Callithrix jacchus: one gene and its partners. The protein of the gene in region 1 interacts with the protein of each later gene in a biochemical or structural test. Links are inferred from orthologs where the notes say so. Each region holds a gene or a part of one and is shown in the gene's direction. Other genes may lie near its edges.

The links.
Region 2: the proteins of DLG4 (region 1) and KCNA4 form a complex in vitro, tested with the Homo sapiens proteins (8 studies listed by BioGRID and IntAct, with this or other methods). The link is inferred for Callithrix jacchus from reciprocal best matches to the Homo sapiens genes DLG4 and KCNA4.
Region 3: the proteins of DLG4 (region 1) and LRP2 form a complex in vitro, tested with the Homo sapiens proteins (2 studies listed by BioGRID and IntAct, with this or other methods). The link is inferred for Callithrix jacchus from reciprocal best matches to the Homo sapiens genes DLG4 and LRP2.
Region 4: the proteins of DLG4 (region 1) and KCNA5 form a complex in vitro, tested with the Homo sapiens proteins (2 studies listed by BioGRID and IntAct, with this or other methods). The link is inferred for Callithrix jacchus from reciprocal best matches to the Homo sapiens genes DLG4 and KCNA5.
Region 5: the proteins of DLG4 (region 1) and ADRB1 form a complex in vitro, tested with the Homo sapiens proteins (2 studies listed by BioGRID and IntAct, with this or other methods). The link is inferred for Callithrix jacchus from reciprocal best matches to the Homo sapiens genes DLG4 and ADRB1.
Region 6: the proteins of DLG4 (region 1) and KCNA1 form a complex in vitro, tested with the Homo sapiens proteins (3 studies listed by BioGRID and IntAct, with this or other methods). The link is inferred for Callithrix jacchus from reciprocal best matches to the Homo sapiens genes DLG4 and KCNA1.
Region 7: the proteins of DLG4 (region 1) and GUCY1A2 interact in a test that uses a peptide from one of them, tested with the Homo sapiens proteins (2 studies listed by IntAct, with this or other methods). The link is inferred for Callithrix jacchus from reciprocal best matches to the Homo sapiens genes DLG4 and GUCY1A2.

The regions. Positions count from the first base shown.
Region 1 is NC_133506.1:73,680,590-73,683,449, reverse strand, and holds the end of DLG4 (disks large homolog 4), read left to right. Parts: intron 1-88; coding exon 89-198; intron 199-782; coding exon 783-874; intron 875-1,380; coding exon 1,381-1,487; 3' UTR 1,488-2,301; downstream 2,302-2,860. UniProt on the Homo sapiens protein: Postsynaptic scaffolding protein that plays a critical role in synaptogenesis and synaptic plasticity by providing a platform for the postsynaptic clustering of crucial synaptic proteins.
Region 2 is NC_133511.1:95,334,416-95,338,808, reverse strand, and holds the start of KCNA4 (potassium voltage-gated channel subfamily A member 4), read left to right. Parts: upstream 1-1,445; 5' UTR 1,446-1,853; intron 1,854-1,976; exon of another isoform or gene 1,977-2,074; intron 2,075-4,393. UniProt on the Homo sapiens protein: Voltage-gated potassium channel that mediates transmembrane potassium transport in excitable membranes. Forms tetrameric potassium-selective channels through which potassium ions pass in accordance with their electrochemical gradient.
Region 3 is NC_133507.1:60,176,961-60,181,126, forward strand, and holds the start of LRP2 (low-density lipoprotein receptor-related protein 2), read left to right. Parts: upstream 1-1,319; 5' UTR 1,320-1,341; coding exon 1,342-1,429; intron 1,430-4,166. UniProt on the Homo sapiens protein: Multiligand endocytic receptor. Acts together with CUBN to mediate endocytosis of high-density lipoproteins. Mediates receptor-mediated uptake of polybasic drugs such as aprotinin, aminoglycosides and polymyxin B.
Region 4 is NC_133510.1:18,649,563-18,653,906, forward strand, and holds KCNA5 (potassium voltage-gated channel subfamily A member 5), read left to right. Parts: upstream 1-1,396; 5' UTR 1,397-1,512; coding exon 1,513-3,321; 3' UTR 3,322-4,124; downstream 4,125-4,344. UniProt on the Homo sapiens protein: Voltage-gated potassium channel that mediates transmembrane potassium transport in excitable membranes. Forms tetrameric potassium-selective channels through which potassium ions pass in accordance with their electrochemical gradient.
Region 5 is NC_133513.1:106,982,577-106,986,971, forward strand, and holds the start of ADRB1 (beta-1 adrenergic receptor), read left to right. Parts: upstream 1-1,594; 5' UTR 1,595-1,863; coding exon 1,864-3,291; 3' UTR 3,292-4,395. UniProt on the Homo sapiens protein: Beta-adrenergic receptors mediate the catecholamine-induced activation of adenylate cyclase through the action of G proteins. This receptor binds epinephrine and norepinephrine with approximately equal affinity.
Region 6 is NC_133510.1:18,518,688-18,523,062, forward strand, and holds the start of KCNA1 (potassium voltage-gated channel subfamily A member 1), read left to right. Parts: upstream 1-1,427; 5' UTR 1,428-1,996; intron 1,997-2,363; 5' UTR 2,364-2,901; coding exon 2,902-4,375. UniProt on the Homo sapiens protein: Voltage-gated potassium channel that mediates transmembrane potassium transport in excitable membranes, primarily in the brain and the central nervous system, but also in the kidney.
Region 7 is NC_133511.1:6,897,730-6,902,107, reverse strand, and holds the start of GUCY1A2 (guanylate cyclase soluble subunit alpha-2), read left to right. Parts: upstream 1-1,474; 5' UTR 1,475-1,941; coding exon 1,942-2,235; intron 2,236-4,378. UniProt on the Homo sapiens protein: Has guanylyl cyclase on binding to the beta-1 subunit. Isoform 2 acts as a negative regulator of guanylyl cyclase activity as it forms non-functional heterodimers with the beta subunits.

The DNA.
Region 1 (2,860 bases):
CTCTCCCTGTCCTGTGTCTCTCCAACACTGCTGTCTGTCCTTTCCTGCCACCCGCTGGCCCCCCTCCGCCCACCCTGCCTGCCCCCAGGGGAAGCACTGCATCCTCGATGTCTCGGCCAATGCCGTGCGGCGGCTGCAGGCGGCCCACCTGCACCCCATCGCCATCTTCATCCGCCCCCGCTCCCTGGAGAATGTGCTGTGAGTATGGTCCTGGGGGCCTCCCCTCTGCTCCCCCACATTTGTGGCCCTGGGCCTCACAAGGCCTCTGCGGTGAAACTCTCCCTTCAGAACCCTGGACAGCGGTCCCAGCAGCCCCTGAGGTGGGGATCCCTGGAACCCAGGGATCCATGAGCACCTGGAATCCAGGAGACCTGGAACCCAGAGGATTCGGGCAATCGTGCCTTTCCCTTCCTTTCCTGCCTGGGGCTAGACAGGACTACATCTCCCAGCAGCCCCTGGGGCACACCAGCTGGGGCAAGCCAGGGCCTTCAGGGCTGTTGGGAGTTGGAGTCGGAATCCCATCTCTGGGGCTGAAGGCTGGAAGGATGAAGCTTGGGAGATGGCCCTGGAGTAGCCACACCTGGCTGGGGTGGTTGTGGGTGGGGGCTCATCTGTGGTCCCAGAGGATATTGGGAATTGTATTTTTTTTTTTTTTTTTTTTTTTTTGCTGTGTGCTCCAAATAGGAGAATACTAGTTGCAACTTAACATTCCTGGATAGAGGAGGTGAAAGTCAGGGTCAGGTGGGCCCAGTCTCAGGCCTGCGCTCCCTCCCGCTTCACAGAGAGATTAATAAGCGGATCACAGAGGAGCAAGCCCGTAAAGCCTTCGACAGAGCCACCAAGCTGGAGCAGGAGTTCACAGAGTGCTTCTCAGGTGAGGCTACGTAGGGCACCTTTGCTCGGATTAGAAAGCACTCCCCCCTCAATCCCAGTGGATGGTTTAGAAAAAAAGAGGTGCGCCCCTGTGGGCAGATGCGGTGGCTCACGCCTGTAATCCCAGCACTTCGGGAGGCCAAGGTGGGTGTATAACGTAAGGTTAGGAGTTCAAGACCAGCCTGGCCAACAAATACAAAAAGTAGCTGGGTGTGGTTGTGGGTGCCTATAATCCCAGCTATTCAGGAGGCCAAGGCAGGATAACTTGAACCTGGGAGGTGGAGGTTGCAGTAAGCTGAGATTGCGCCACTGCACTTTAGCCTGGGCGACAAGAGTGAAACACCATCTCAAAAAAAAAAAAAAAAGAGGTGCCCCAGTTGGCGGGTGCAGCCCTATGACTCATGGCTTGGAGAATTAGAAAGAGGTGCCCCTTCCTCTGGGCTGCTACTTCCTTGGCCAGGCATCTTCTGACCCTTGGCCTCACTCCCTGCTCCACCCTACTCCCAGCCATCGTGGAGGGTGACAGCTTTGAGGAGATCTACCACAAGGTGAAGCGTGTCATCGAGGACCTCTCAGGCCCCTACATCTGGGTTCCAGCCCGAGAGAGACTCTGATTCCTGCCCTGGCTTGGCCTGGACTCGCCCTGCCTCCATCTCCTGGGCCCTTGGTCTGGACTGAATCGCCCAAGCCCTTGGCTCCCCCCGGCCTCCCTCCCACCCCTTCTTATTTATTTCCTTTCTAACTGGATCCAGCCTATTGGAGGGGGGACACTCCTCTGCATGTATCCCTGCACCCCAGAACTGGGCTCTTAAACACCAGGAACCTGGGGTCTGGGGGGGAGCTGGGCTCCTGGTTCCGAGCCTTTGCTCCTTAGGACTCCCACCCCCCACCCGCCCCCAATGCACACACAGACCCACCGGGGGCCACCTGCCCTCCCCCATCTTCTCCCACACACATTCCAGAAGTCAGGGCCCTCTCGAGGAGCACCCGCAGCAGGGATGCAGGGCCACAGGCCTCCGCTCTCTCCCGAGGCAGGGTCTGAGGTCACCCCTGCCCTCATCGTAATTCCCATGTCCCTTGATTTCTCATTTATTTTTTCCACTTTTTTTCTTCTTAAAGGTGGTTTTTGGGGGGAGAAGCAGGGGACTCTGAGGCGGGCCCCCTGCCTTCCACACGTCCCCCACCTTTTTTCTTTGCCGGTTTGCATGAGTGGAAGGTTTAAATGTGGCTTTTTTTTTTCCTGGGATTTTTGTTTTGGGGAAAAGGGAGGGATGGGTCTAGGGAGTGGGAAATGTGGGAGGGGGGGTGGGGGGCAGGGGTCAGGGGTCGGGTGTCCGGGAGCCAGAGAAGACTGGAAATGCTGCCGCCTTCTGCAATTTATTTATTTTTTCTTTTGAGAGAGTGAAAGGAAGAGACAGATACTTGAAACTCGGTGTGTGGCCTGGTTATTTGGGACCTGGGTGTGGAGGGAGATGGGCACAGGGATGGATGGGTCAGGTAGAGTCAGATCCTTCTTCCCTCCAAACCAGAGCAGTTAGAGTGGCCTGAAAAACGGGCCATGGAGGTAACTGGCATATCAAGGAACTAGAGTTGGTGAGGATGGCCTGTGAAGGGCTGGAGCTCTGTCCAAAGTCATGACAGGTCAGAAAGAGGAGGCTGGAACTCGTAAGGGACCCTGCAAACTTCGTCCAGCTCTGATCCCCCCTGGGCTGTCTCAGTCCTGTTGGGTAGCACAACAGTCCCTAAAGGAAAATAGAGAGGAAACTTTCTTCATTCATGTTCATGGAGTTGTGGACAGAGCGAGGCTCTGGGAATGATCTTTACAGAGGTTTGCCGATAAGAAATGCTGTGTGAATATACATTGGGTTTCTTTATGCCCTCTCTCTTTTTTTTTGAGATGGAGTCTTGTCCTGTTGCCTAGGCTGGAGTGCAGTGGCATGATCTCGGCTCACTGCAACCTCCGCCTCCCGGGTCCAAGCGATTCTCC
Region 2 (4,393 bases), on another chromosome or scaffold:
TCCACAAAAAAGGAAAAGAACAAAAAGACAAAATAATAATAATAAGCATAAGACAGAGACTTCCCGGAGCCAAACCTCTAGCCTGCTTGATTCTGGCAGGCCTCAGACAGGCGAGCTGTCTACTTTACCGTTTTAATGTGGTCCAAAGAAATAAGCAAGAAACAAGGAGAAACCCTTCCTCAGATAGAAACTTCAGCCAGTCCGCATGAAAGGCCCAAGAAGTTTTTAACCAGACGTTCCTGCTTTAGGGGACCAAGGACTTGCCCGAGGTCCCGGCTTGCAGCTAGGTTTAACTTTCAACTCAGTGACCTTTTCCTTATTTTAATGCAAAAATTCACGCTCAGAGGTGGAGATTTAAAATGCGAATGATACATAGGTTCTATGAAGAAGTGCACCAGAAAATCTCCACCTCTATATGCTCTGTCCATAGTTCCCCTATGTCCCCTTATGGGAGAGGCCCGTAAAAGAAACCCATACCCTGACTTCGAGGAGCAGCCCACTTTTTTTTCTTGGTGTTAGCTCCCTTGTGCGCGCAAGATTTAATTAAAAGAAAGAAAACCAAAGAAACTTGCTTTCTGCTAAGATCTCCTTGATTTCTATCCTGAGGGATCCAAAGAGCCCTCGGTCGGTACCAGAGCCGTATTTCTTTTTGCAGCAACAGGTTATCTGCGGGCTCTTCCCCGCTTTCCAAAGCCCCCAGCCCCGGGCCCACCCTGGAACTCATTCATCTCTCCAACCCTCTTCCCGTAGGACTGCTGCTTCCCTTGCACAGCCCCTAGCCTGGGCCTGATTCCAATTTCGTAACATTCCCCTACCCGGGGTGGAATACAGGTTGAAAGTCGGTCTCCTCCGCACCCCGGAGGCCCAACCCCGACCCTGAAGCCACTCAACTCCTGTGTGCAGGGAAGGCGGAGACTGGGGGATCTGGGCGCGCTGGCAGGCACAGGAGGGCTCCCCGCCTGCAACCTCGCCGGAGGTGCCCCGGGCTCCCAACCCGACAAACCCGCTTTGGGAGGGGGTGGGGTGTGGAGAAGAGGACGAGGCTCGAGGGGAGATCTGGAGAAAGCAAGTTAGGGAGTGGAGAAGATGTCCCAAAGGACCCCATTTTCAGGACTGCACCTCCCGGGGAGCTCCCCGCTCCCAGGCCCTCTGGGGACTCCCGCGCTGCCGTCGAAACCCCCATTCCGGCCCCAAAAGGGACACTTCTCCAGGATTTGCTCCTCTCCTCTGGGGACCGCAGCCAAAGACTCCTGGAATCGATCCCGGATCCTGGGAGTCTGGGGGCCCGGCCAGAGTGCGGGGAGTCGCGGCGTCGTGACTGCGCCCTCCCCGCCGCTCCTGGAGGCGCCCCTGGCGACCGTCGCGAACGCCACACCCTCGGCTCGGCCCTGGCCCCGCCCCCGCCCGGCGCGCGTTCGCGGCCAGGGGAGGCGTGTGCTGCTCCCGCAGCCAGCGAGAGCGAGAGAGGGATGGATGTTGGAGGAGCAATTCGGGCTTAACAAGTGATCACTGCTGTCTAGGATTTTGCTTCTTTTCGGGGGAACCTTGACTTCCTTTCCCAGGCAATCCCTCCTGTACTGAACTCCAGAGGAACCAGGAGTCTTGGGGTCTTCTCTGGGGCAGCCCCGACCCCCACCCCCAGGCTCCAGCCGCGAGGACTCTGTGCCCCCCGCCGGGCCAGGCAACAGAACTTGTTCCGTGGATATTTGGAGCCTCCACCTGCCAAACCCGAGTGATTCCCTTTAACACTCCAAGATCATTCTTCCCCTCCTCCAGCTGTTGCAGCTTGAGGGGGAAAAACAAGCCAGCCGGTGGATTTTCTTTATTTTTATTTTTCGCCCCGCCGGGGAACGGTAAGTATGATACCTTTTCAAAAAAACCCTTCCTCCGCCCTCTTCTTTTGGCTGTTAAGAAACAGTGGACCTCTGAGGGATAAATAATATCGGGAATGTGACAGAAGGGCATGAATGGAAGGCGGTTAAAAATAAACCAGGAGGTGGGAGAAGGGAGGTGCGGATGCTGCGCGGCGCTCCGGGGGGCCAACAGTTGTTATTTTCCCAACCCTGGGGATGCGGTGAGTGCGCCCTGGCTAATGTGCTGGAGCGGGAACTGAGGTCTGGAGGCGAGGGCGCGATTAAAGATGTCGTTTCCCAACGAGAGGGTTAAGATTTAGCATCGTTTCGCCTCCTCCGATCCTCACCGGTTCCCTTCCTTTGGGAACAGCTGGTGAACGGGTCTGAATTGCTGCCTTTCCCAATGTTTGGATTCGCGTGCATTTTCCGAGCATTTGAGCAACATACATAGGGGCTGCATAAATGGCGTGCGTTGAAGTGTATATTTCTCACGGTGTTGGCTTTTCTGATTCCCTCTCTCTCTCTCTGTCTCAGTTTCTCTCTCTGTCTCTGTCTCTCAGATAAGGTTCAGGTACCACCCTGACACAGTTGCAGGAATTGGCACTGAGAGACGGACAGCCTTGTTGTTGGGGGTGGGGGGCGGTGAGAGGAGGAGGGGCGGGATGTTTGGCTGTTGTTTGGGGGGGGTGCGCCGGAATTAGGGAATAGGTAGTCTGCAAAATCCTGTTAGTTTAATGGTGTTAAAGAAGAAGACAAATTCCTCTGCAAAGATCACTCTCATAAAGGCTCCTGGGAATTGACTTGAATAGACTCTCTTAACAGGAGTACCTTGAGAAAGAAGAGAGATTTTAAAACCAGTCTGGTTTGCTGGAGGAATGATTTTTCTTTTCTCTTCTTTCTCTCCCTCTTTCTTTCTAAATCAGAGATAGTGAAGTAACTAATAGACAATAAAAAGAAGGCAATTTGCTATTTGTCTGGTGGAGGAGGGAGTTAGATAAACAAAAACTAATAATCCCAAATAAATAAATAAATAAATCCCAAATAAATAAAATAAATGTGAAATTATTTGGTGTAGAGCAGAAAGAGGGCAGTTCTAGATCTCCCGAAGAGATGATGGTGAATTAGAAGACTCTCTAATTCATGACCTTCTGGGAGTCAGTTGGGTGGGAGGGCAGGTATGTGTAGTACTCAGGTATACAGGAACTTGGGCTACACTGGGGCTTCATTGAAATGATCATTTTGGGGGAGCTGGGGAAGAAACTGAGCAAACTCTCAAGCTATCTGGTCTGTGCAAGTCTTGAAAGGATGTTGGCCTGACACTCCACAGTGAATATCACCCCAGGATGGTTTTGTAAGCAGAGATTTAGAGACTCCTTGAGGGTAAACATTTCAGCGTATGAGATGTTAGCAGTCAGGCCAAGGAAGGGAGCTAGCATGTGAGATGCCCTCAGTGGTGTATTTTCTGGGGTTTGTGTCACAATCAAAATGCCCTTCTTGCCTAGGAAATTGAGTATGATTGGGAAGGGGTATATGATTGGGAAGACTTCTGTTTGCCACTTCTATGCTTGTCACTTCGTGAAATTCAGTGTGTTTAGGCTGCTAGGCTGACAGGATCAGCAAGAAGCAGCAGGTGGTCAAGAGCTGAATCCTGTTAATGGCTTCAAAAAGCCATTTCTCTTATGCTTTCCAAGTGCTTCCAGTAATAGAAGCTGGTAGATGCCCTGAATTCTGGCTATCATCATTCTCTCCAGTTCTCTGGGTTACTCCCTGCATTCTTGGAAGTCTTGTTGAACAGAGTACATGGAAAAGTCAAGAGGAGATAGGAGATTTGGATGGCGGCTTTTACAGGACTTGGCTGAGGAGATGAATTACCTGGATCTTGGGAGAACAAACTAAGGAAGAAGAAGGACCAGGTGACAGAGGGAGCAGATCAGAGCTGCAAGGGACATGTGATTAGGAAGTGGAAGATTGTAAATAAAAGTGGGCAAAGAGAGAGAGACGGAGAGAGGAGGGGGATGTTGGGGATGTGGATTTATTGAAGTGAAGGTGGGGGTGTATTATAGGCTAAGAATGAAGTCCACACAAGCTGAAATTTAAAAACTAAGGAGATAGTCCCTTGAGCAGAGTGTAGGAGGAACCACTGAGGTGAACATGGGGCGACCACAAGGAGAGAAAATGATTATTAGGGAAGTGGAAACTGGCATTAGTTCCTAGTCTGTGGGTGGTATGGGGTGTTCAGGATTAAGGGGGACAGAAAAACAATGGGGACATGCTACAGGGAGTCAGGCAGTGCCAAGTTAACACAGGCCATTGGTGAGTCTCAAGATGTCCTGTATGTCCTCACATTCCATCTTCCCTTACTTTAGTGGCCTAAGGACACAAACATTTGGGACTGTGTAGATAGACAATAAAAACATAGGTTACTGTCATGTTATTCATAACTGCCAGTGTTTCATTGCCATTCATTAGGTAAAAGGCACTGTGATATTTTATCAACATCCATTATCTCATTTAATCCTTACAAACATGGGCTCGGGGAA
Region 3 (4,166 bases), on another chromosome or scaffold:
GCAGGAAAGCTGCCTTTCTAAAGTCTCTCTTGTCATTTATTTCTCATGAATGTCCATTTTCTTTCTTAATGTCTGATTCTATGCAACCATCTTCCAGTAATTTATATTGTTAATCAAAAAGCCGTATAGGAATTCTCTGGGAGATTGGGACTGGAAATCCACTGTTCAATGGGATGATTTATAGGTTTTGCACAGGGTGTGTTAAATCACCAGGTGCTGAAGGGCATGCTATTCTTTTAAGTAGTTTGATTCATTGGGTCTTTATTCACCTGGGCAGGCAGGCCATCTTCATTTTTCTTCTGTTTGGATAGTGTTCTTTCTCAGCATCCTATAAGTGTAGCTCTTTTGGCATGAAAGATGTAAATAACCAGTTAGTCCCTAGTCGGGATGGGGACAGAGAAGAAGGTCTTGGGTTTAGTTTCCTTCCATATGTAGAGATAGTCCCTCTCCAGGAACCTCATTGACTTAGCTGATAGAGAAAGCACTGCGTGAGCTATTCAGGCGGAGCACAGAGAAGACTGATACAAATGCAGTTTCAGTGCTTTGATGCTGGCTGATAGGAAGTTTTCCTTGCTCAGCATTCTTGGTAAAAACTTGGAGATTCTTTTGAATGTTTGGGGGCCTAAGTGATTGTCAATTTATATTTTTATTTTTTGTGAGTGTATGTGGTGAGGTGGGGAGGACATCGGAAGAAATTATTTTTTTGCTTTGATAATGAAGATGGATGGGAAAAGTTTGCACTATAAAGCAGATGTGTTTATGACTGTTCTTCTTAGCCACAATCCTTTACATTAATGATGAACTACTTGAGGATTTCAGATGCTTGTGTTTTTCAAGTGTGATCCCCTCCCCTTGAAGGGGTAGATCTGTGGACGTGCAATGGAATGGAGCATTCCAGGATGAAACAGGCCTTCCTGGAACTTAGATTCTTTATCACACTCCCCAGGGGAGTTAATTTCAAGTTGCTGCAGCTGCAGGGTGAAATTGCCCAATCTTAGGTGCTCTTATTGATGGGTGGGAGGGAGTGAGATTGCTTAAGAAATTTTATTATCTTTAGAATCGAAGAATTTATTATGTTTTTTTTTTTAAGATGATCTCTTTCAGGTAGGCTAAGATAATTTTGAGCTCTGACTGTCCAAGCTGCTTAGAGGTTCTGAGTTGTTCTCCACTGGGGGTGGTGCTGCCACTCTCAAGCGGTGTCTGGACGTGCATGGGAGTGTTTTTGTTGTCATGGTGATGGGGGGAGGGCAATACTGGTGTTCCACAAATGGGAGCCAGGGATGACGTACATACTGCTTTGCCCAGGACATCTCTGCAAGGTGAGTAATTTTCCTATCCTAAATGCCAATAGTGTCCTCTGAAGAACCTCCGAGAAATGTGGCTTTGCTTATAATGCTCTTTAGTGCTGATGGACTGCCTGATTGTAGAGGTGAGAGGTGCATAATGAAAAAACAAGCGGGATGTAAGAGCCTTGGGGGCAGGGGATAAAGACTGGTGACTAGTGTTTAAATGGAAACGGAGAAGGGTAGTTCAGTTATAAACAGCTCAGTTTAAATCTCTCATTGCTCAGAATTGAGAGGCTCCTCAAGTAGTGTATCTCATTCTGCTGGCATTTGGTTATTGGAAAGGCACTTTATTTCAATTACTAAGCAATTATTTAAGTAATCTTTGAGATCAACTATGTTGAGAGCTGACTGGATTCTGTGGGCTGGATACTCAGACACGGCCAGCTTGGAGAGGATGGTGGGGGATGGTCACTAGGATGCTGGCGATGCCCTAAGGTGGCGGTCCCCAACCTTTTGGGCACAAGGGACTGATTTCATGGAAGACAATTTTTCCATGGAGAGTGGGGTGGTGGTGAGGGAGGGATAGCTTCAGGATAAAACAGTTTTACCTCAGATCATCAGGCATTAGATTCTTCTAAGGAATGCGCAACCTAGATCCCTCTCATGTGCAGTAGGGTTTGTGCTCCTTTGAAAAGCTAATGCAGCCACTGATTTGACAGGAGGCAAGCTCAGGTGATAATGCTCGCTTACCTGCCTCTCACCTGCTGCTGTGTAGCCTGGATCCTAACAGGCCATGGACCATTACCGGGCTGTAGCCCTGGGTCTGGGGACCCCTGCCTCATGAAACCTGTTGGTAGTTTGCCATGCAAATAGGGCTGGCAAGGATCAGCCTGGGGCAGCTGGAGGGGCTGCAGGGTGTTACCATTCTCTGCTAGCAGCCTCTTGGTGAAGCACCTACCAGCCTGCTCACTGGACTCATGGTTGCGGCGAGGTTCTGGGGATTGAAGTGGAGCTTCAAGCTCTTCTCATTGTCAAAGTCTATATGCTAGTTCAGGCTTTACCTACCCAGAGCGATCTTCGCTTTTAACTCAGTTACTGCCTGAGTAGTCACCCTCACACTCTTTCGCTTGGCATTCAAAGCTCTTTTTTCTCCATCTTCCCAGCCTTGTTGCCTACTGCTCTCCAAGAGGTTCCCACTGCTTGGGTCATACTTATTAGATCCTCACCCATGCTAAGTTTCTGTCAAGTTGTTTTTTTTCTTAGAGACAGGTTTCGCCATGTTGGCCAGGCTGAACTCCTGGTCTCAAGTGATCTGCCCCCCTCGACCTCCCAAAGTGCTGGGATTACAGGCATGTGTCATCACGCCTGGCCTGTCAAGTTGTTTTGACCCTACACACAAAGCCTGGTCTCCCTCTTCACTTCCCCAAATCCTGCTCATTCACAAAGACCCAGTGTAGTCTTATAATTCTTCATGAAGACTTCTCTGATGACACCAGCCTGCAGTGTTATTTCCCCCACCAAGGCCAGTTGGTTTTTATTATCTCCATTGTTATTTGGAACCAAATTGTCTATTGTCATGTGATATAGGTTTGGAGTCAGACTGCCTCAGTGTAAATATGTGCTCCACTACCTACTAGCTGTGAGACTTGGTCAAGCCTTATTGTCTTGTCTATGAAATCGGGCCATTAATACCATTTCAGAAGGCTGTTGTGAGGGTGAGTAACGTAATTCATGGGAAACAATTAAAATACTGCTGGCAAGTCTGGGTGAACAAATGCTGTCATTTTCTTTGCAGGACGTGGAATGATAAAATAGGTACAGGCTCTGGAGTCACACAGACTTTGGGGCTAAATCAGACTTTGACATTTGCTACCTTCGTGGCCCTGAGGGAATTGGTTAATGTCACTGAGGCTCAGATTCTCTTCCATTAAATAAGTATAAATCTCACATCATCCAGTTCAAAGAAGATCCATCCAGTGAATATGTATAAAGCTTTACATATTGTCTACATAGTAGGTGCTCAATAATTAACAGCAATTGTTATTGCATGGATATTTAATTTATAACATAAATCACTTTTGCCCCCAATAAACTTATAGGTTCTGTCAAAACAGACCATATCTTATTTTTCTTTTTTCTTCCACTGATCCTAGGATAACTGCACATAGTAGTTATAAATTCATTTGTGGCTTTAGTGAATCTGGCATCATATTCTTTTGGCCCTTATTTATTTATTTAGCACTTAAAATCTGTGTCTACATGATAATGCATCAACTTGCATTGTAGGTTTTGTCCTCAAATCTTTGACTTCTTGAAATGTCCTTATAGTATTGTTTTGTTCTAAGAAAACATCAGGGCTCTGAAACAATAATTTGGACGAAGTAGTCTATTCAATGGTTTATAAACTGGATTAGGAAAAAAAAAAAGAATTCCTGTCACCTATTTGGTGATCTGTAAGGAAAACCAGGCAGTTAAAATGTTGCACAGAAAGAGAATAGTAGGTTGGTTTGCTGTTCATGGCTTGTTTCAGTTTCATTAACTGAATCCTTGACTATTCCATCAATTTGACACTAGACAGGGTAGGGTGCTTTACATAATTTGTCACCCTTGGCCGTCATCACTATAGTGTAAAGTTTTAGAAATAAGCAGATAACCCTGAATCTTCAAAAGGAGACTGGCCTTGTTTATGTGGGCAAGGTATGGGAATTGCAGTGAACTGTCAGCCAACTTACGAATATCAGGAGTTTGTCTATCAATACCAAAGGAATCAAAATTAAGTAGAGAAAAAGTGAAGCAAAAATTATGGATAAGGAATTGCCTTTTAAATTTGTTTTTCTTTGAGTTTAGTGAAGGTGGGACTATTAAAATATGATTTAGTTG
Region 4 (4,344 bases), on another chromosome or scaffold:
TGCCTCTTGCAGCAGGGAACTAAAGTTCTCAGGCCAGATGTCAGAGTGAGGAGGGCTTGTATCAGAAAAGGGCATTATGCATTTCTGAAGAGGGATGAAGTATAGGGGATGAGGGCCAAACTCTGAATTTGAGTTCCAGCGTCATCACTTTCTACCCGCATGAGCCTGGGTGAGTCTGTCAATTTCTTTGTGCCTCAGTTTCTTCGTTTATAAAATGGTGATGATGATAGTATTTACAAAATAGGTTGCTGTAGGAATACCCAGAGACATTATTTTAAAGTGCTGAGAACGGGCTGGTGCATAATAAGAGCCAAGTAAGTACTGGTTGTTATTATTCCACTCTTGGGAATTCTCCAGCCTTGGAGATTGCAGTATCTCCCTGGCTCCCTCTCATACACCACCTCCACCCTCAGCCCCCTTCATGGACCTTGATGCAGTTGCTAGCTCCAAGGTTCACCAGACAGGATCGGCCCTCACCAGAATTGTAAAAATCTCTCCCCTCCTGCCCTGTTGTGGCTTTTGCAAATGGAATTCGTTGCAGGGGGTGGAAGGGTTCTGCTGGTTTGAGACCAGACAGCTCATCTCTTGACTAGGCTGCCTGCCTGGGCTGCCACTGGGTCCATACTAGAAACAGGGCAGGGTATGGGGACGCTGCAAGGTTCCAACCCCGTCATACCTTTTTGTGGATCTGTAGGAAGACGGGAAGAGAGGTGCTTCTCCATTGATAATATGTATTTCAAGGTCCGTAACTACTCCACGCCCCCTCCCGTCTGCAATTCTTCCCAAAGAAACACCGTTATCTCTCCAGAGTAAAAAGGACTGTTGTCTCCCGTCTCTGTCTCTCGTACTCCGACTCAGCTCAAAGCCTGTCCTTTTAACCCAAGGCACTTCGTTCCTTCTGGAGTCCACTCGGCTTCCAGCGGGTTCCCAGGTGAAACTGAAATCCAGAGCTATTCTCATCTGGTTGCCCTGGGAATTTCGGCGCTCTCGGTACAACCTGTTCCTCCATCCTCCCCACTCCTTCCCTCCCTCCGCGGGGCTGCACCCTTCTCGGCCCCTCCTTTCCCTTGCTAGGGGCCCCAGCTGCGCCCTCCCGGGAGACACTCGGTGCCACGAGACCAGGCTGGGGAAGCGGGCGGGGGGGGGGGGGGGAGGCGGGGGGGAGGGGAAGCGGGAGGAGGGGGAGGCGGGGGAGGAGGCGGGGGAGGCGCCCAGGGTGGAGGCCAAGCGCGGCGCAGCCAAAGAGGGGCGGCTGAAGGTTGCATCTGCTGGAAGGAGGCTTTTCGGCTGCTTGGTAACCGGCTGCCAGAAGAGAGAGAGAGGCAGAGAGCAGGGCAGCGGCTTCTTGACGTCAGGACCAAGCGAGGGGATCGCGCCAGCAACCCCAGCTCGCCCCAGAGAGGGGGCCGGCCAACCGCGAGAGCGGAGCCCGAAGCGAGGCGCCAGCGGAGCGTGAGTAGGGGGCGCGGGAGCCGGTCAGCTGGGGCGCAGCATGCCCCCTGCCCCCGCGCCATGGAGATCGCCCTGGTGCCCCTGGAGAACGGCGGGGCCATGACGGTCAGAGGAGGCGATGAGGCCCGGGCAGGCTTCGGCCAGGCCACAGGGGGAGAGCTCCAGTGTCCCCCGACGGCTGGGCTCAGCGATGGGCCCAAGGAGCCGGCGCCAAGGGGACGCGGCGCGCAGAGAGGCGCTGATCCGGGAGCGCGGCCGTTGCCTCGGCTGCCCGAGGAGCCGCCACAGCCTCGGCGGCCGCCTCCGGAGGACGAAGAGGAAGAAGGCGACCCCGGCCTGGGCGCGGAGGAGGAACAGACTCCGGGCGCTGCGGCTCTGCACCACCAGCGCGTCCACATCAACATCTCCGGGCTGCGCTTCGAGACGCAGCTGGGCACCCTGGCGCAGTTCCCCAACACCCTCCTGGGGGACCCCGCCAAGCGCCTGCGCTACTTCGACCCCCTGAGGAACGAGTACTTCTTCGACCGCAACCGGCCCAGCTTCGATGGCATCCTGTACTACTACCAGTCGGGGGGCCGCCTGCGGAGGCCGGTCAACGTCTCACTGGACGTGTTCGCGGACGAGATCCGCTTCTACCAGCTGGGGGACGAGGCCATGGAGCGCTTCCGCGAGGATGAGGGCTTCATTAAAGAAGAGGAGAAGCCCCTGCCTCGCAACGAGTTCCAGCGCCAGGTGTGGCTTATCTTCGAGTATCCGGAGAGCTCTGGGTCCGCGCGGGCCATCGCCATCGTCTCGGTCTTGGTCATCCTCATCTCCATCATCACCTTCTGCTTGGAGACCCTGCCCGAGTTCAGGGATGAACGCGAGCTGCTCCGCCACCCACCGGCGCCCCACCAGCCTCCCGCGCCCGCCTCTGGGGCCAACGGCAGTGGGGTTGTGGGTCAGCCCTCTGGCCCCACAGTGGCACCACTCCTGCCCAGGACCCTGGCCGACCCGTTCTTCATCGTGGAGACCACGTGCGTCATCTGGTTCACCTTCGAGCTGCTCGTGCGCTTCTTCGCTTGCCCTAGTAAGGCAGGGTTCTCCCGGAACATCATGAACATCATCGACGTGGTGGCCATCTTCCCCTACTTCATCACCCTGGGCACCGAGCTGGCAGAGCAGCAGCCGGGGGGCGGAGGAGGCGGCCAGAATGGGCAGCAGGCCATGTCCCTGGCCATCCTCAGAGTCATCCGCCTGGTCCGGGTGTTCCGCATCTTCAAGCTCTCCCGCCACTCCAAGGGGCTGCAGATCTTGGGCAAGACCTTGCAGGCCTCCATGAGGGAGCTGGGGCTGCTCATCTTCTTCCTCTTCATCGGGGTCATCCTATTCTCCAGTGCCGTCTACTTCGCGGAGGCTGACAACCAGGGGACCCACTTCTCCAGCATCCCTGATGCCTTCTGGTGGGCAGTGGTCACCATGACCACTGTGGGCTACGGGGACATGAGGCCCATCACTGTGGGGGGCAAGATCGTGGGCTCGCTGTGTGCCATCGCCGGGGTCCTCACCATCGCCCTACCTGTGCCCGTCATCGTCTCTAACTTCAACTACTTCTACCACCGGGAGACGGACCACGAGGAGCCGGCAGTCCTTAAGGAAGAGCAGGGCATTCAGAGCCAGGGGCCGGGGCTGGACAGAGGAGTCCAGCGGAAGGTCAGCGGGAGCAGGGGATCCTTCTGCAAGGCTGGGGTGACCCTGGAGAATGCAGACAACGCCCAAAGGGGCAGCTGTCCCCTGGAGAAGTGTAACGTCAAGGCCAAGAGCAACGTGGACTTGCGGAGGTCCCTGTATGCCCTCTGCCTGGATGCCAGCCGGGAAACAGATTTGTAAATGGAGATTCAGGCAGACTGGTGGCAGTGGGGTAGGGAATGGGAGGCTTGCTGAACATGGGTATCTACATTACACCGCAGAGTATTGGAAGCCACACTGTAACCTCAGTCTACCCTCTCCTTTCACTTCTCTCCTTCCTCCCTTCCTCCCTCCCTCCATCCCCCCATTTTCCCTCTTCTTTCCATGACACCCAAGGGTCGCCTATTTTTAAAAAGTACCACGTTCCATGACGCAGGAGCTGTTGAAATGGCGAGTGCTGTGAGATGGATGTATTTGTAGCCTATACCCAGCAGAGGGATAACCCAAACAAAAATGACTCTAAATAGCCCAGATCCCAAGAGATTATGTAACCCCTCCATCCATGTGTTCCAAGTTTGCTTTACATATGATTATATTTGAGTATAGGGGAAAATATTATTTTTATGGCTGGTAAGTGGCTTTTTGTACTGTAGTTCAGATAGAGATATTTTGGATATGCTTTCAAGATACATGTTGTATTTACGGAAGAGAGAGTTGACCTGATGTTTCTCTGTGATACTTATATTTGAGCCAGAGATCTTGGTATGAGCTGTTCTGGTTCTTGTGTGTCCAAGCCTCTGATTTTTCTGGGATGTGGTATTGGTGCTTTGTGTCTAGGGCAGAGAATGTTCTGGAGGAAAGGCAAATCTGACTTTTTCTGTGCGCCTTAAACAACTCTTGTAACTTTCTTCAAAAAGCATTTTAATGATATTGGAGGAATACTTCTGATAATTTATTCTCTTTATTTGTATCCCAGGAAATAAAAGGTTACTTTGTTGAGGCAAGTGTTAGTTTTTCTGCAGCTGATACAGTTCTGAAATTTAAAAACAGTCTGTCACTGGCTGTTTCTGGTTTTGAAATCAGAGCAAACGCATTGACTGGGGTCAGAGGAAACTTGGGAAGCTCATGATTCGCTCGGCGACATCTTTCCAATGCACCCCTTGGTGCCTCATAGACAATGGTGGGTGAACTGCTTTCCAGGCTGTTTATGGCATGGACGCCCCT
Region 5 (4,395 bases), on another chromosome or scaffold:
TATGAGCTTGATCATACTGACGACCAACATCAGCAAAGATGCTGATGTTCATTGCAGGCACTGTTCTTACTCCAATGCCAGAAGGACCTGTGAGAATTATATAACATTTTCATGCACCCTTACATAAACAATTAGAAGCTGTTTACTTCTCAAGGACCCAATTAAAGATATTTTGTTTTTCGAGCCTGAACTGAGGACACTACAGGGGCCAAATGAGAGAAGGGGCTTGCAGTCCTGCCGCACTGAATATTCATGGCTGTGCCCCCACCCCAATATAATCCATTTCGCCAGGTTAACAACTCACTCATTTCAAAGCGATTCATTTGCCAACTCAAAAAAACACAGATACAACTTTAAATGCTTTCGGATTTTAATCCTCTGGAGTATTTATATGTGTTCTTGTCTCATCCCTCCAAAACTAATCCCAGAGTTTTGAGAATCTGGGAACTTGGGAAAAGGAGAAAACAAGCAGCAGACCAAGGAATCTGAAATGGTAGTTCATGACGTCAGCCGAAACTGACAGTACCTTTGTGTTGGTACTGACCTAGCTCAAATTACAAAATCACAAGAGTAATAAAACACAAAATACAGGTGTTATCACTGACAAGTCTAAAATGTAATTAAGCATGTTTTTTTTCCCCTCGCAGTCGTACCGTTTGCTCTGTATCTCAACGTTTCTGTCTCCCTAAGCCTCTCCCTTTATCATGAGCACACACCGTTGCATCTTGCTCACACATTCATTAGCTGGGACTGAGGAGTGAATACGATGCCAGCGGGTCCTCAGCGTTAGCTGTTAGATGCACAAACCTTCGCATCCTTTCCACTTCCACTGCACTTGAGGTTCAACAGAAGATCCCTGCAAGAACAGCGCCCAGAGAGCATTCTGAACAGATGCGCCCTTGGCTCCAGCAACCCGCTCTGCTGGGAAGTTTCCTCTAACCACTAACACCCACCTCTGATCCCCCAAGCTGTCACGACACAGGCTGGCTGGGTCGCCTCTTGACGGGGGAAGGGTTTTACACACACCCTGCTAGGCTGCCCCATGCCACAACCAAGCTCGCAGGGCAAACTCCTTCATGCCCGGCGGGCAAGCAGTCCCAGGCGCTCTGGCGCTTCCAGAACACCAAGGTCCCCTCCTCGCTCCAAGGAGCGAGCGCTCTCTGCCGCAGGGAACCCCCAGGACTGCAGGTCGAGGGGATGCTGGGGAAGCAGGGGCGCAGGAGGGAGCCTGGCGCGGGAGGCAAACGGGGCGCAGCAGCGGCTGCGGGAGCACTTGGGGGCCGCGGGAGGGGGCGGGGCCCCTCGGGGGAGCCGGGCGCGGGAGGGGGTGCGCGGAACAGGGACCTGGAACCAGCGGGCGCAGGAAGGGGCGCGTCCGCAGGAACCCGCGGGCCGCACGGGAGGCACTAGCTCCGCGATCAGCTCCGGACTCTCAGGAGCGGCTCAATTGCCAACTGGAGTGGGGTGCGGGGAGTTGGGGGGGGCAGACCCGACGGGGGCGTGCCTTTGCCCCGATTGGCTACAGGAACCTGACGCGAGGCCCCGGGGGTTGGCTTGGGGAGGTGGGAGCGGGGTGGGGTGGGTGCTGGGTGCCGGAGCTGCGGGCCCGGCGCGCTCAGAAACATGCTGAGGTCCCGGCGGCTCTTCCAGCAGCGGCAGCGGCGGCGGCGGCGGCGGCGACAGCGACAGCGCTCGGATCCGGCGGGAAAGGCGCCCGGCGCCCATGCCTCCGGCCCCGCGCCGTGGCTGTCCTGACCCGGCCGCGACCTCCCTCGGCGCACCCCGCCGCCCGGGCTCCTGGGGTGTTCCCTAGCCACTGCCCAGCCCCGCCACACCCACCGCCCCCGGCCTCCGCAGCTCGGCATGGGCGCGGGGGCGCTCGTCCTGGGCGCCTCCGATCCCGCCAACCTGTCGTCGGCTGCGCCGCTCCCCGACGGCGCGGCCACTGCGGCGCGGTTGCTGGTGCCCGCGTCGCCGCCCGCCTCGCTGCTGCCTCCCGCCAGCGAAGGCCTCGAGCCGCTGTCGCAGCAGTGGACGGCGGGTATGGGCCTGCTGATGGCGCTTATCGTGCTGCTCATCGTGGCGGGCAACGTGCTGGTGATTGTGGCCATCGCCAAGACGCCGCGGCTGCAGACGCTCACCAACCTCTTCATCATGTCCTTGGCCAGCGCCGACCTGGTCATGGGGCTGCTGGTGGTGCCGTTCGGGGCCACCATCGTGGTGTGGGGCGGCTGGGAGTACGGCTCCTTCTTCTGCGAGCTGTGGACCTCGGTAGACGTGCTGTGCGTGACGGCCAGCATCGAGACCCTGTGTGTCATCGCCCTGGACCGCTACCTCGCCATCACGTCGCCCTTCCGCTACCAGAGCCTGCTGACGCGCGCGCGGGCAAGGGGCCTCGTGTGCACCGTGTGGGCCATCTCGGCGCTGGTGTCCTTCTTGCCCATCCTCATGCACTGGTGGCGGGCGGAGAGCGACGAGGCGCGCCGCTGCTACAACGACCCCAAGTGCTGCGACTTCGTCACCAACCGGGCCTACGCCATCGCCTCGTCCGTGGTCTCCTTCTACGTGCCCCTATGCATCATGGCCTTCGTGTACCTGCGGGTGTTCCGCGAGGCCCAGAAGCAGGTGAAGAAGATCGACAGCTGCGAGCGCCGGTTCCTCGGCGGCCCGGAGCGGCCGCCCTCACCCGCCCCCGCGCCCGCGCCGCCGTCAGCGCCAGGACCCCCGCGCCCCAACGCCGCCGCCGCCGCCGCCCCCCTGGCCAACGGGCGCGCGGGCAAGCGGCGGCCCTCGCGCCTCGTGGCCCTGCGCGAGCAGAAGGCGCTCAAGACGCTGGGCATCATCATGGGAGTGTTCACGCTCTGCTGGCTGCCCTTCTTCCTGGCCAACGTGGTGAAGGCCTTCCACCGCGAGCTGGTGCCTGATCGCCTCTTCGTCTTCTTCAACTGGCTGGGCTACGCCAACTCGGCCTTCAACCCCATCATATACTGCCGCAGCCCGGACTTCCGCAAGGCCTTCCAGCGCCTGCTCCGCTGCGCGCGCAGGGCCGCCAGCCGGCGCCACGCGGCCCACGGGGACCGGCCGCGCGCCTCGGGCTGCCTGGCCCGGCCCGGTCCTCCGCCGTCGCCCGGGGCCGCGTCGGACGACGACGACGACGATGTCGTCGGGGCCACGCCGCCCGCGCGCCTGCTGGAGCCCTGGGCCGGCTGCAACGGCGGGGCGGCGGCGGACAGCGACTCGAGCCTGGACGAGCCGTGCCGCCCCGGCTTCGCCTCGGAATCCAAGGTGTAGGGGCCCGGCGCCCCGGAACGGCTTCCCGGGGGATCTCGGAGATCTGTGTTTACTCAAGACCGAAAGCAGGTGAACTCGAAGCCCACAAACCTCGTCTGAATCATCCAAGGCAAACAGAAAAGCCACGGACCGTTGCACAAAAAGGAAAGTTTGGGGAGGGGTGGGAGAGTGGCTTGCTGATGTTCCTTGGGTTGTTTTCCTTCTTCTTCTGTTTGTGGTCCGGCCTTCTTTTGTGTGTGCCTGTGATGCATCTTTAGATTTTTCCCCCCAGGTGGTTTTTGACTCCACGAGGATGGGAGTGGAAGCTGGGTGGGCAGGGGAAGGGAGAAGAAGCATTAGGAGGGGATTAAAATCCGATCAACCTGGCTCCCGACCCTGTCCCAGGAACAGGGGCAGTCTACCAGCCAGAGAGAGGAGAATGACAGTTTATCAAGGCATATTTATTTCCTTTTGCTTTCCAGAGAAATTTCATTTTAATTCCTAAGTAATGGTTTCCGCTGTTATGAAAGCGAAAAGGATGGATGCAAAAAAAAAAAAAAAATCACGTTTCAAGAAATGTTAAGCTCTTCTTGGAACAAGCCCCAATTTGCTTTCCTTGTGTAGGGCAAACCCTCTGATCCCCCGCGCGCCTGGATGGTCAGGCTACGGGATTTCTACCTCACACTGTGCATTTGCACAGCAGATAGAAAGACTTGTTTATATTAAACAGCTTATTTATGTATCAATACTAGTTGGAAGGACCAGGCGCAGAGCCTCTCTCTGTGACATGTGACTCTTGTCAATTTAAGACAGGACATGAAAAGAGAGAGAGAGACAGTTTTGATTACTGCACATGTGGATAAAAACAAAAACAAAAAAAGGAGTGGTTCAAAATGCCATTTTTGCACAGTGTTAGGAATTACAAATTCCACAGAAAACATTACTTGCACAAAAAGAAGTTAAATATTTTTTAACTGGGGAAGTGGTGGGCAGATCTTAAAAACTAAAATAAAATTCAAGCTCTACTTCTGTTGTCTAGTATGTTATAGAGCTAATGATTTATTGGGAAAATACCTTTTTATACTCCTTTATCATGGTACTGTAACTGTATCCATATTATAAATA
Region 6 (4,375 bases), on another chromosome or scaffold:
AGAAAGGTAGGGATCCTTGGAGCTGTTGAGATTGAGGGATATGCCTGTGGAAGGTGGAAAAGGGGCCGAGTTTAATATGGGAAGGAGGAGTATAGGAGAAGTGATTGTTCATGAAAGAAAAGCTGGGGTATGGATCTGAAGGAGGGGAGGGAACATACACTTTTGTTTTTCTGAAAGGAATGCTGGCGTCTGAATCTGGAGGAAGGATTTAACTAGTTCCAGACAGGGACTGTTGCACTGCCCGGGCAATCCCGCAGAGGCCCCGGCTTTCCCCTAGCCACAACAGAGCGGGGAGGATGCAATCATTGGCTTTGATTAAGGAGGTGGGTGGTGTAGGCGGGAGGCCACGCGAATCGCGGTGGTGAGAAGGGTGGTCTCAAGGCCGCGGGAGAAGCCAATCAGCTGCGACTCTGGGCTCTTGCAGCCTTCTTAGAGACTCCGCAGCCCTGGAAGTACCAAGCTGCCTGCTGCCTTTTCTCTCGCTGCAAGCGCGGAGACGCAGCGCCTCTGGGGGCGCAGCTCCAGCCGCACTCATAGGGCACGGCGCACGCCCCCGGCTCCTGCTGCCATGCGCCTCTGCGGGGGACCCTTTCCGAATAAATTGCAAGCTTTGAAAGTGGCCCAGTGGAGGCACTAGGCTGGGGAAAGAGGCTGCGGGAGGAGGGACAGAGGGTGGGAGGTGAGTAGGCGACTTGCTTCTCAGATTATTCCCAATTAGCACCAAGTTGGCAGACAACCCCACAAACCCACGAGGCCTTTGGTCCCCCACAAGTCACATTCTCTGTATTTCAGAATAATCGGTTCGTAAGAAAACTTCAAGTCCCATCGTAGGTTAAAGAGGGACAGGCTCTTAGCACCGCCGCCGCCCAGTAAAACTACATGGAAAGAACCCGTGGATCCTCAACTGCTGGGCTCTGCCCAAAGTCTGCAGCTCTGCGAGTCCAGCCGGCGGGGGGAGGCTGGGTGGACCCCGCAGAGAGCAAGGGCCTCCTTGAGGAAAGAGCGGGATGGGGCGCAGAGCAGTGCGATCGAAGAGGGTTACTGTGGGACTGCACAAAAGCAAACCCATCGGAGGAGTTTTGCCAGAAACACCACCTCCTGCATTGCGTCGGACCTGACCATTTCCAATGTGAAATTCCCGGGGAAGGTCGCGCGCCGCTAGCGGCAGTGCGTGGGCGGGGCAGGGCGGTGGGTCACAGGGGAAGTAGAGTTAGTGGTCGACTTTTCTGGTAGGAGAGGAAGAAGCTGTGCTGGCGAGGGTGGGAACTGAATGACAACCCCGCTCTCTTGCAAACCACCCCCTCATATTTTCCATCCACCTCCTCGCTCCTGCCCTCCCCCGCCCTCCCCAACCCACGCCCGGGTGGGCCAATCGCTGCTCCGTATTCCAGGCGCTTTCTCAGGTTTCTGCTGATCTTGCAGCGCCCAGAAATGGACAGAGCGGACCCGCCGCCGCAGGCACTCTGCCCGACTCCAAGCTCCTAAGGGCTCCCCGCGCGCCGCGTAGCCTCGGCGAGGTCCTCGCAGGGGTGCAGAGAGCGAAGGGAACTGGAGAGCCATGTAGATCCAGGCTCCTACCCGCCCGCCTCCTTCGGGATCGAATCAAGGGCTCGCATAGTGTTAGGAGGGGGCGAGAGTGCTGTTTATCGTCATTTGCCTCGGAGCTTCGGGAGAGGGTGGTATTTTGCTTTTCCGCCCTGCATCCTCCGGAACTCCCTGCACTGGAGAGAGGACGGCGTCTCCAGGTTGCTGGCAACCAGTGAGAATGGGGGTAGGAAATGAACATTTTCGCCGTTGCTGCTCCGTAACGCGATTGTCCAACTGAGAGGGGCGTCGGACGAGCGGACCAGGGAGGCTAGTTTGCCCGGCGCGTCTCGGATGCTGGCTGTGGTGACCGCCGGGGCTCCCGCCAGGGCACTGCAAAGGCGACCTGCCGCATTCCCAAGCCGGCTCTCCGCGGACGCAGCACCGCCCCTGCGCCAAGCCTGCTGGCCAGGTAGGGGGTTCCCCAGCTCCGGGCCGCAGAAGCGGGGGTTGGGGCGCGGGGTTGGGGAGGCCGGGGGTGTGGGGATGCTGCCCGGGACCCGGAGCTTCCCCCGGTGTCTCTGGGCGCTTTTCCGATCTCTAGTTTAACGAAGTTGTAAACAGATCGGCTGTTGGGCATTGGGGAATGTGGGATGGAAGAGCCCCAAACTTGGATTTCCGGGTGTCTGCGTGTCTGTCTGTCCGTGTGTGTGTGATAACCCTAGCAAACGTCCAGTGCTTTCTCAAGCTAGAGGTCTGTGTTCTTCGGTGTCTGTAGGTCCGTCCCATCGGAATGCTTCTGATTTTCTACCCCCGTATCACTTTCTATTTCTCTGCAGCGTCCATCGATCGCCCTGGTGGGAGCTTAGAAGGCGGCAGGCGAAGAGGGGTAGGAGGGGGGAGAGCCGAGGAGAAGCAGAGAGGGTGGCAGGCGTGGGGATCTGCTGAGCCGGCACTGCACCGGGTCCTAGGAAGGCTCTCGGAGGGGAGGGGAGGCCAGGGCGACCCCCGAAGCGATGGCCCGGTCCGCTAGAACAGCACTGCGTTAAGGCTCCTCGGATCAGTAAAAATTATCTTAAAAAAGAAAGAAAAGAAAAAAGCCAACCCCAACCCAAATCCAACCCTCGGCAAAAAGCTGCACCGGCCAGCAGGCAAGGGGGATTCCAAATTGAGTGAAAAGCAGGGTGGAGGGGAAAGCAGCGCGAGGCGAAGTCGCATATCTCCCGAACTGCTCGCTTTGAATCCCCTCCCCCTGGGCGTGAGGGAGACTCGCACTCCGGTGGGGGGGCCGCTTGGGTCCCCCCCACCTCCGGCTCCTGGCTCTTTCCCACCCCGGGCTCTCTCCTGGCCTCCCACCCCCCGCGCCCGACTTCCACCATGACGGTGATGTCTGGGGAGAACGTGGACGAGGCTTCGGCCGCCCCGGGCCACCCCCAGGATGGCAGCTACCCCCGGCAGGCGGACCACGACGACCATGAGTGCTGCGAGCGCGTGGTTATCAACATCTCCGGGCTGCGCTTCGAGACGCAGCTCAAGACCCTGACGCAGTTCCCCAACACGCTGCTGGGCAACCCTAAGAAACGCATGCGCTACTTCGACCCCCTGAGGAACGAGTACTTCTTCGACCGCAACCGGCCCAGCTTCGACGCCATCCTCTACTACTACCAGTCGGGGGGCCGCCTGCGGAGACCGGTCAACGTGCCCCTGGACATGTTCTCCGAGGAGATCAAGTTTTACGAGTTGGGCGAGGAGGCCATGGAGAAGTTCCGGGAGGACGAGGGCTTCATCAAGGAGGAGGAGCGCCCTCTGCCCGAGAAGGAGTACCAGCGCCAGGTGTGGCTGCTCTTCGAGTACCCAGAGAGCTCGGGGCCCGCCAGGGTCATCGCCATCGTCTCTGTCATGGTCATCCTCATCTCCATCGTCATCTTTTGTCTGGAGACGCTCCCCGAGCTGAAGGATGACAAGGACTTCACGGGCACCGTCCACCGCATCGACAACACCACGGTCATCTACAATTCCAACATCTTCACGGACCCGTTCTTCATTGTGGAAACCCTGTGCATCATCTGGTTCTCCTTCGAGCTGGTGGTGCGCTTCTTTGCCTGCCCCAGCAAGACGGACTTCTTCAAAAACATCATGAACTTCATCGACATTGTGGCCATCATTCCTTATTTCATCACCCTAGGCACCGAGATAGCTGAGCAGGAAGGAAACCAGAAGGGCGAGCAGGCCACGTCGCTGGCCATCCTCAGGGTCATCCGCTTGGTAAGGGTTTTTAGAATCTTCAAGCTCTCCCGCCACTCTAAGGGCCTCCAGATCTTGGGCCAGACCCTCAAAGCTAGTATGAGAGAGCTAGGGCTGCTCATCTTTTTTCTCTTCATCGGGGTCATCCTGTTTTCTAGTGCAGTGTACTTTGCCGAGGCGGAAGAAGCTGAGTCGCACTTCTCCAGTATCCCCGATGCTTTCTGGTGGGCGGTGGTGTCCATGACCACTGTAGGATACGGTGACATGTACCCTGTGACAATTGGAGGCAAGATCGTGGGCTCCTTGTGTGCCATCGCTGGTGTGCTGACAATTGCCCTGCCCGTACCTGTCATTGTGTCCAATTTCAACTATTTCTACCACCGAGAAACTGAGGGGGAAGAGCAGGCTCAGTTGCTCCACGTCAGTTCCCCTAACTTAGCCTCTGACAGTGACCTCAGTCGCCGCAGTTCCTCTACTATGAGCAAGTCTGAGTACATGGAGATCGAAGAGGATATGAATAATAGCATAGCCCATTATAGACAGGTCAATATCCGAACTGGCAATTGCACCACAGCTAACCAAAACTGCGTTAACAAGAGCAAGTTAC
Region 7 (4,378 bases), on another chromosome or scaffold:
TTTAAAGCCCATTTAAGATCTGGAAAAAAGGTATGTCTGTGAACCAGTCTGAGTGGATTTTTCCAAATGAAACCTCAAATAGCGTTTATATCTAAACCCTCACAAACACGTGGGAATATTTAGAGTTAAAAGCAAATTTGGGTGGGGTTACAGCACAGGTTTTATGGTTTTGTTTTGATTTTTAAACACACACAGTCCACACAAACCCATCTGTCTTCACATGAAAGGACCCGTTCTTTGGAAAAAATGCTTTGGCTTCAGATTCACTGGGGAGCTAAAGCCAGAGACCCTGAACTTTTCTCTACGCTGATGGGGGGAGCTGGGGAGGGTGCTTATCTACTTTAATCTACTTTATTGCAGGGGGAAGTACAGCCTGGGACCCCTCTTTGGGGATGCTGTCATTTGCCCCTTCTTCCCATCCTTTATTCTATCCTCAGAACCAGTATGAGGCTTTTCTGGGACTAAGGCAAGGTACAGTGGGGTCAGGCGCTGGAAGGACTGGTTTGCAAAGAGAAGCTTTGGAATGAAGCCGCACAGCTGAAAGCGCGCGACGAGATGCCTGCGCTGTGGCGAGTCAGTTCTCCGGCTGCGCGAAGCCTTTATCCCGACTCCTCTTAGCTTTCTGAGCAGCGTTTGCAGTCAAGTGCAAACAGATCGCATATTCGGTGCAAAGAGCCCTGAGGATGATGGATGTGGGATCGTTCCCCGGTTTCCCCGGGCCAGGTGCTAGACGGTTTGAGGAGGAACTGTTCTCCACTTCTCCACGCCTGCAAACGGCTGGAGGGGGCAAGCGGAGCTGTCCAGCACTAGTGAGGGGCCGGCGCAGCCGCGAGCCCCGCGCACAGCACCAGGCTGAGGCTCAGCCACGGCGCTCTCGCCAGAGCAGACGCTGTCCTCGCTGCCGCCCCGTTCTGGGCTCGCTCTGCGCCCACGCGGCCTCGCAAGAGGCGGTGAACGCAAGTCTCCAGGAGCTGCTCCAGCAGCATGGGCGCCAACATGTTGCCCCCGTCCTTCCCTTCCCGTGTAAGCGTCTCCTCTGGAATGGGCTGGCTGCACGCTTGGCCTTTCCCTTTCGCCTTGTAACTTCCTAAATAAACTCGGAGAAAGGACAGCATGAACCCTAACCTGCACTTCACACTGTCAGGCTTCCCCGAGGTGGCCCTAGGGGGAGGCCTGTCCCCCCCATCCCCGAACCCTTCTCTCCACCAGCGCCGCCAGAGCCGGTGTATTCCTCAGGGCCCAGGATAAGGCGTCTGGGGATTGCGGTCCCTCCGTCCGAACCAAGCTGCTGTGCGCACCTCCTCGGAGCAGGGAGGGCGCGCAGAGGACAGCGACCAAGTGTCCTCGTTGCTCCTGAAACGTGGCGACAGGCGAGGCAGAGACTCCCAATGAGTATGATGGCGACACGTGATAGTGGCGGAGGGAGAGCATGGGGGGGCGGGAGATAAAGGGAGAAGGAGGGAGGCGGGCAAGTGGAGAGAGGCGGGAGGAGAGGGGCGGGAGCAGTGAGGGAAAGGGGGCGAGCGAGGCGCGCAGGCGGCACCAGCCTCTGCCTCCCCGTCTGCCTGGGCCGCAGCCCTCCCCGCCCCGCCGGCCGCGGTCACACACTTGGAGCCTCCCCGGGAGCGGGAGCGCGGTGCACGGCGATGCGCCGAGGCGGGCGCTGAGCGGCGCCGCTTGAGCAGCAGCAGAGGCGGCGGCGGCCCCCAGCCCAGCGCGGCGCTGCCGCCGAGCCCGGGCCCCAAGGTGCGGGAGCACCCCAAGTTCCCGCCATGAGCAGCTGGCTTGGGGGGCTCCGCGGCCCCGGGGGCTCCCTCCCCGCCGAGCGCGACCACAGCGCCCCGGGGCTCCGACGCGCGTAACGCTGCCCCCGGCGGGTCCCGCCACCGCCGCCGCCCGTGTCCCCGCCGCCGCCTCGGCCGTTGCAGCGCCGCCCGCAGCATGTCTCGGAGGAAGATTTCGTCCGAATCCTTCAGCTCCTTGGGGTCCGACTACCTGGAGACGAGCCCGGAGGAGGAGGGGGAGTGCCCCCTGTCCAGGCTCTGCTGGAACGGCAGCCGGAGCCCGCCCGGGCCGCCCGAGCCCAGCGCGGCCGCCGCCGCCGCCGCCGCCCCAGCCCCGGCCGCTTCTGCCGCCGCCGCCGCCGCCACGGCCGGGGCCAGGAGGGTGCAGCGCCGGAGGCGGGTTAACCTGGACTCGCTGGGCGAGAGCATCAGCCGCCTGACAGCGCCCTCGGTGAGCAGGGGCCGGAAGGGGGGACTGCCTTCTTGGGAGAGGACACGGATCCGTAAAGTTGGCGCCGGGTGAGCCGGGCGCGAGTGCAGAGCCCGACCGCTTGGGGGCGGCCCGGCCTCCCCCCACCCCGCCCGGCCCCGGGTTCCAGCGGCTCTGGGCTGCAGCAGCTCTCCTAGGCTAGGGTGGAAGTGGAGACTAGAGCGGTGAGAAGTAAGATTCCACTCCTTTGGGGTCTCCTGATTCGGGGGCCCGTCTGCCCACCTCCAGCCTTGAACCCCGCTTTCCCACTGTTCCCCCTGGACAGCCCCAGTGCTGCTTCACACCCACCTGTTTTCTGTCCCCCAAACTTTCCCAGGCACTGTGTTCTACAGTTCGGATCCCCTGTCTTTCATCCTGTTCTCGAGCATCCCAAAGGAGCCCCAACCCCTTCCAGGAAACCCTTCCTCTCCTTATTTCCCACACTCTCTTGGTCTCAGCGTGACCTTCCTTGACATCTCGGAATCCCACAGGCTATCTGCATTCTGTGTTACATCCTTTTCCTCAGATCTTCAGACACGTTTTGCCAGATACTTTTCTGAGTTGCCTTCTGATGAAGGAATCTCAATTCTCGAGTTCTCCCAACCCCATAGCTATTTTTTTTTCTTTTTTCTTTTTTACTTATCCGCTAAGCATTTATTCTTTTCTGGATAAAACTGGTGTCTGGTTTTCTTCTCCTCTTTTTTTAAACTTTAATTTAATTTTAAGTCCCAGGATCCATGTGCAGGATGTGCAGGTTTGTTACATAGGCACAAAATGTGTGCCGTGGTGGTTTGCTACACCTACCAACCCGTCTCCTAGGTACGAAGCCACACCTGCATGAGCTATTTAAACTGCGCTATACTTCTTGCACCTGTACCTCATCCTTTACCATCTCTTCAATGGATTCCCTAGTGCTTTCTCTCTCATTTTTTGATGGATTCTTTATACTAGGCTCTTCCTGAATATTTACGGAGAGAATAAATGCCTTCCTAGACCTCTCCAACTTGTGCTCATCTCGGGATGTCTGTATTAGCAGGTTCAGGTGTGCACCAAACTCCCCCTGGTCGTAGGCATCCTTCGAGAGTACTCCTGCCTCATTCCCACCCAGGCATTTCAGCTACCCTTGGCTTTTACCTCTTGCTGGAATGCCAGACCTCTGGTCCAGTTTTTCCCTGTCTGGGTGAGCTCTGTTTTGAAGGAATGCATTCTACTGCAGACAGAATTTGAAAAGGACTCAGTGTCAATCTTCCTCAGTCTCATCTTTTATCCTCACCCTGACCTTGGATACAAGAGCTTTAACTCTTCCTGACAGCACTTTTACCTACTCGCCCCTAGGACTTTTACATTCAGAGTTTCCAGAATGAATCTGAACATTGATCTTGTTTGATTACTGTTGAGTCTCTCTTTTGAGGTTACTACTGCAGTTGATGGTGGGAGGGACCGAAGAAGGAGTGGGACCCTGAGGGGACTGAGTACTGGTACCGGGCAGTTCTTCAAATATTCTTGTGGCACTTGCATTAATGGAGAATGATGTTTTTCTTTTATGAGACCTTATTTAAGATATATAAATTACTTATTATGTTACTTATTTTGAACTAATTTAGTCATTAGGAACACATTGAGAAAGTCATCTTGCTCTTCTTGTGTATTTTCCTATTTGATATATCTTTCTGCCACTTTTTCTTTATTGATAACCTAGAAAACAATCCTCAGGATAGGTTGGGTTTCTTTTTGCTGTTCTTACCTGCCAATATTTCCCAGGCAATGTAATTTTATGAATTATTTGGTGTGGCAAATTGTTGAATATAAGTCTTTATAACAGGAGTCCAGTGACCCCGAGCATCTGTAGGCTTTTGTCAGTACCTAAAGCAACATTTGTGCAATGTGATAGTTATTCAGTACAACAGATTCTTATTTAATGAAATGATTTTGCTAAATATAATGATGAGTTTGTGATTAGTTTGGGGAGAATTGTTGATATAACCTTGGAGTGATTTTTTTTTAACTAAGAATTAGAATTTACAAATTTCTAAAAAGTAATGGCAATGCCTCTGTAATGCTAATTTAAACTAAGACTATTTTCAACAACTTACATGAGGAGTAGATAAGAGAAACTGAGAACTGA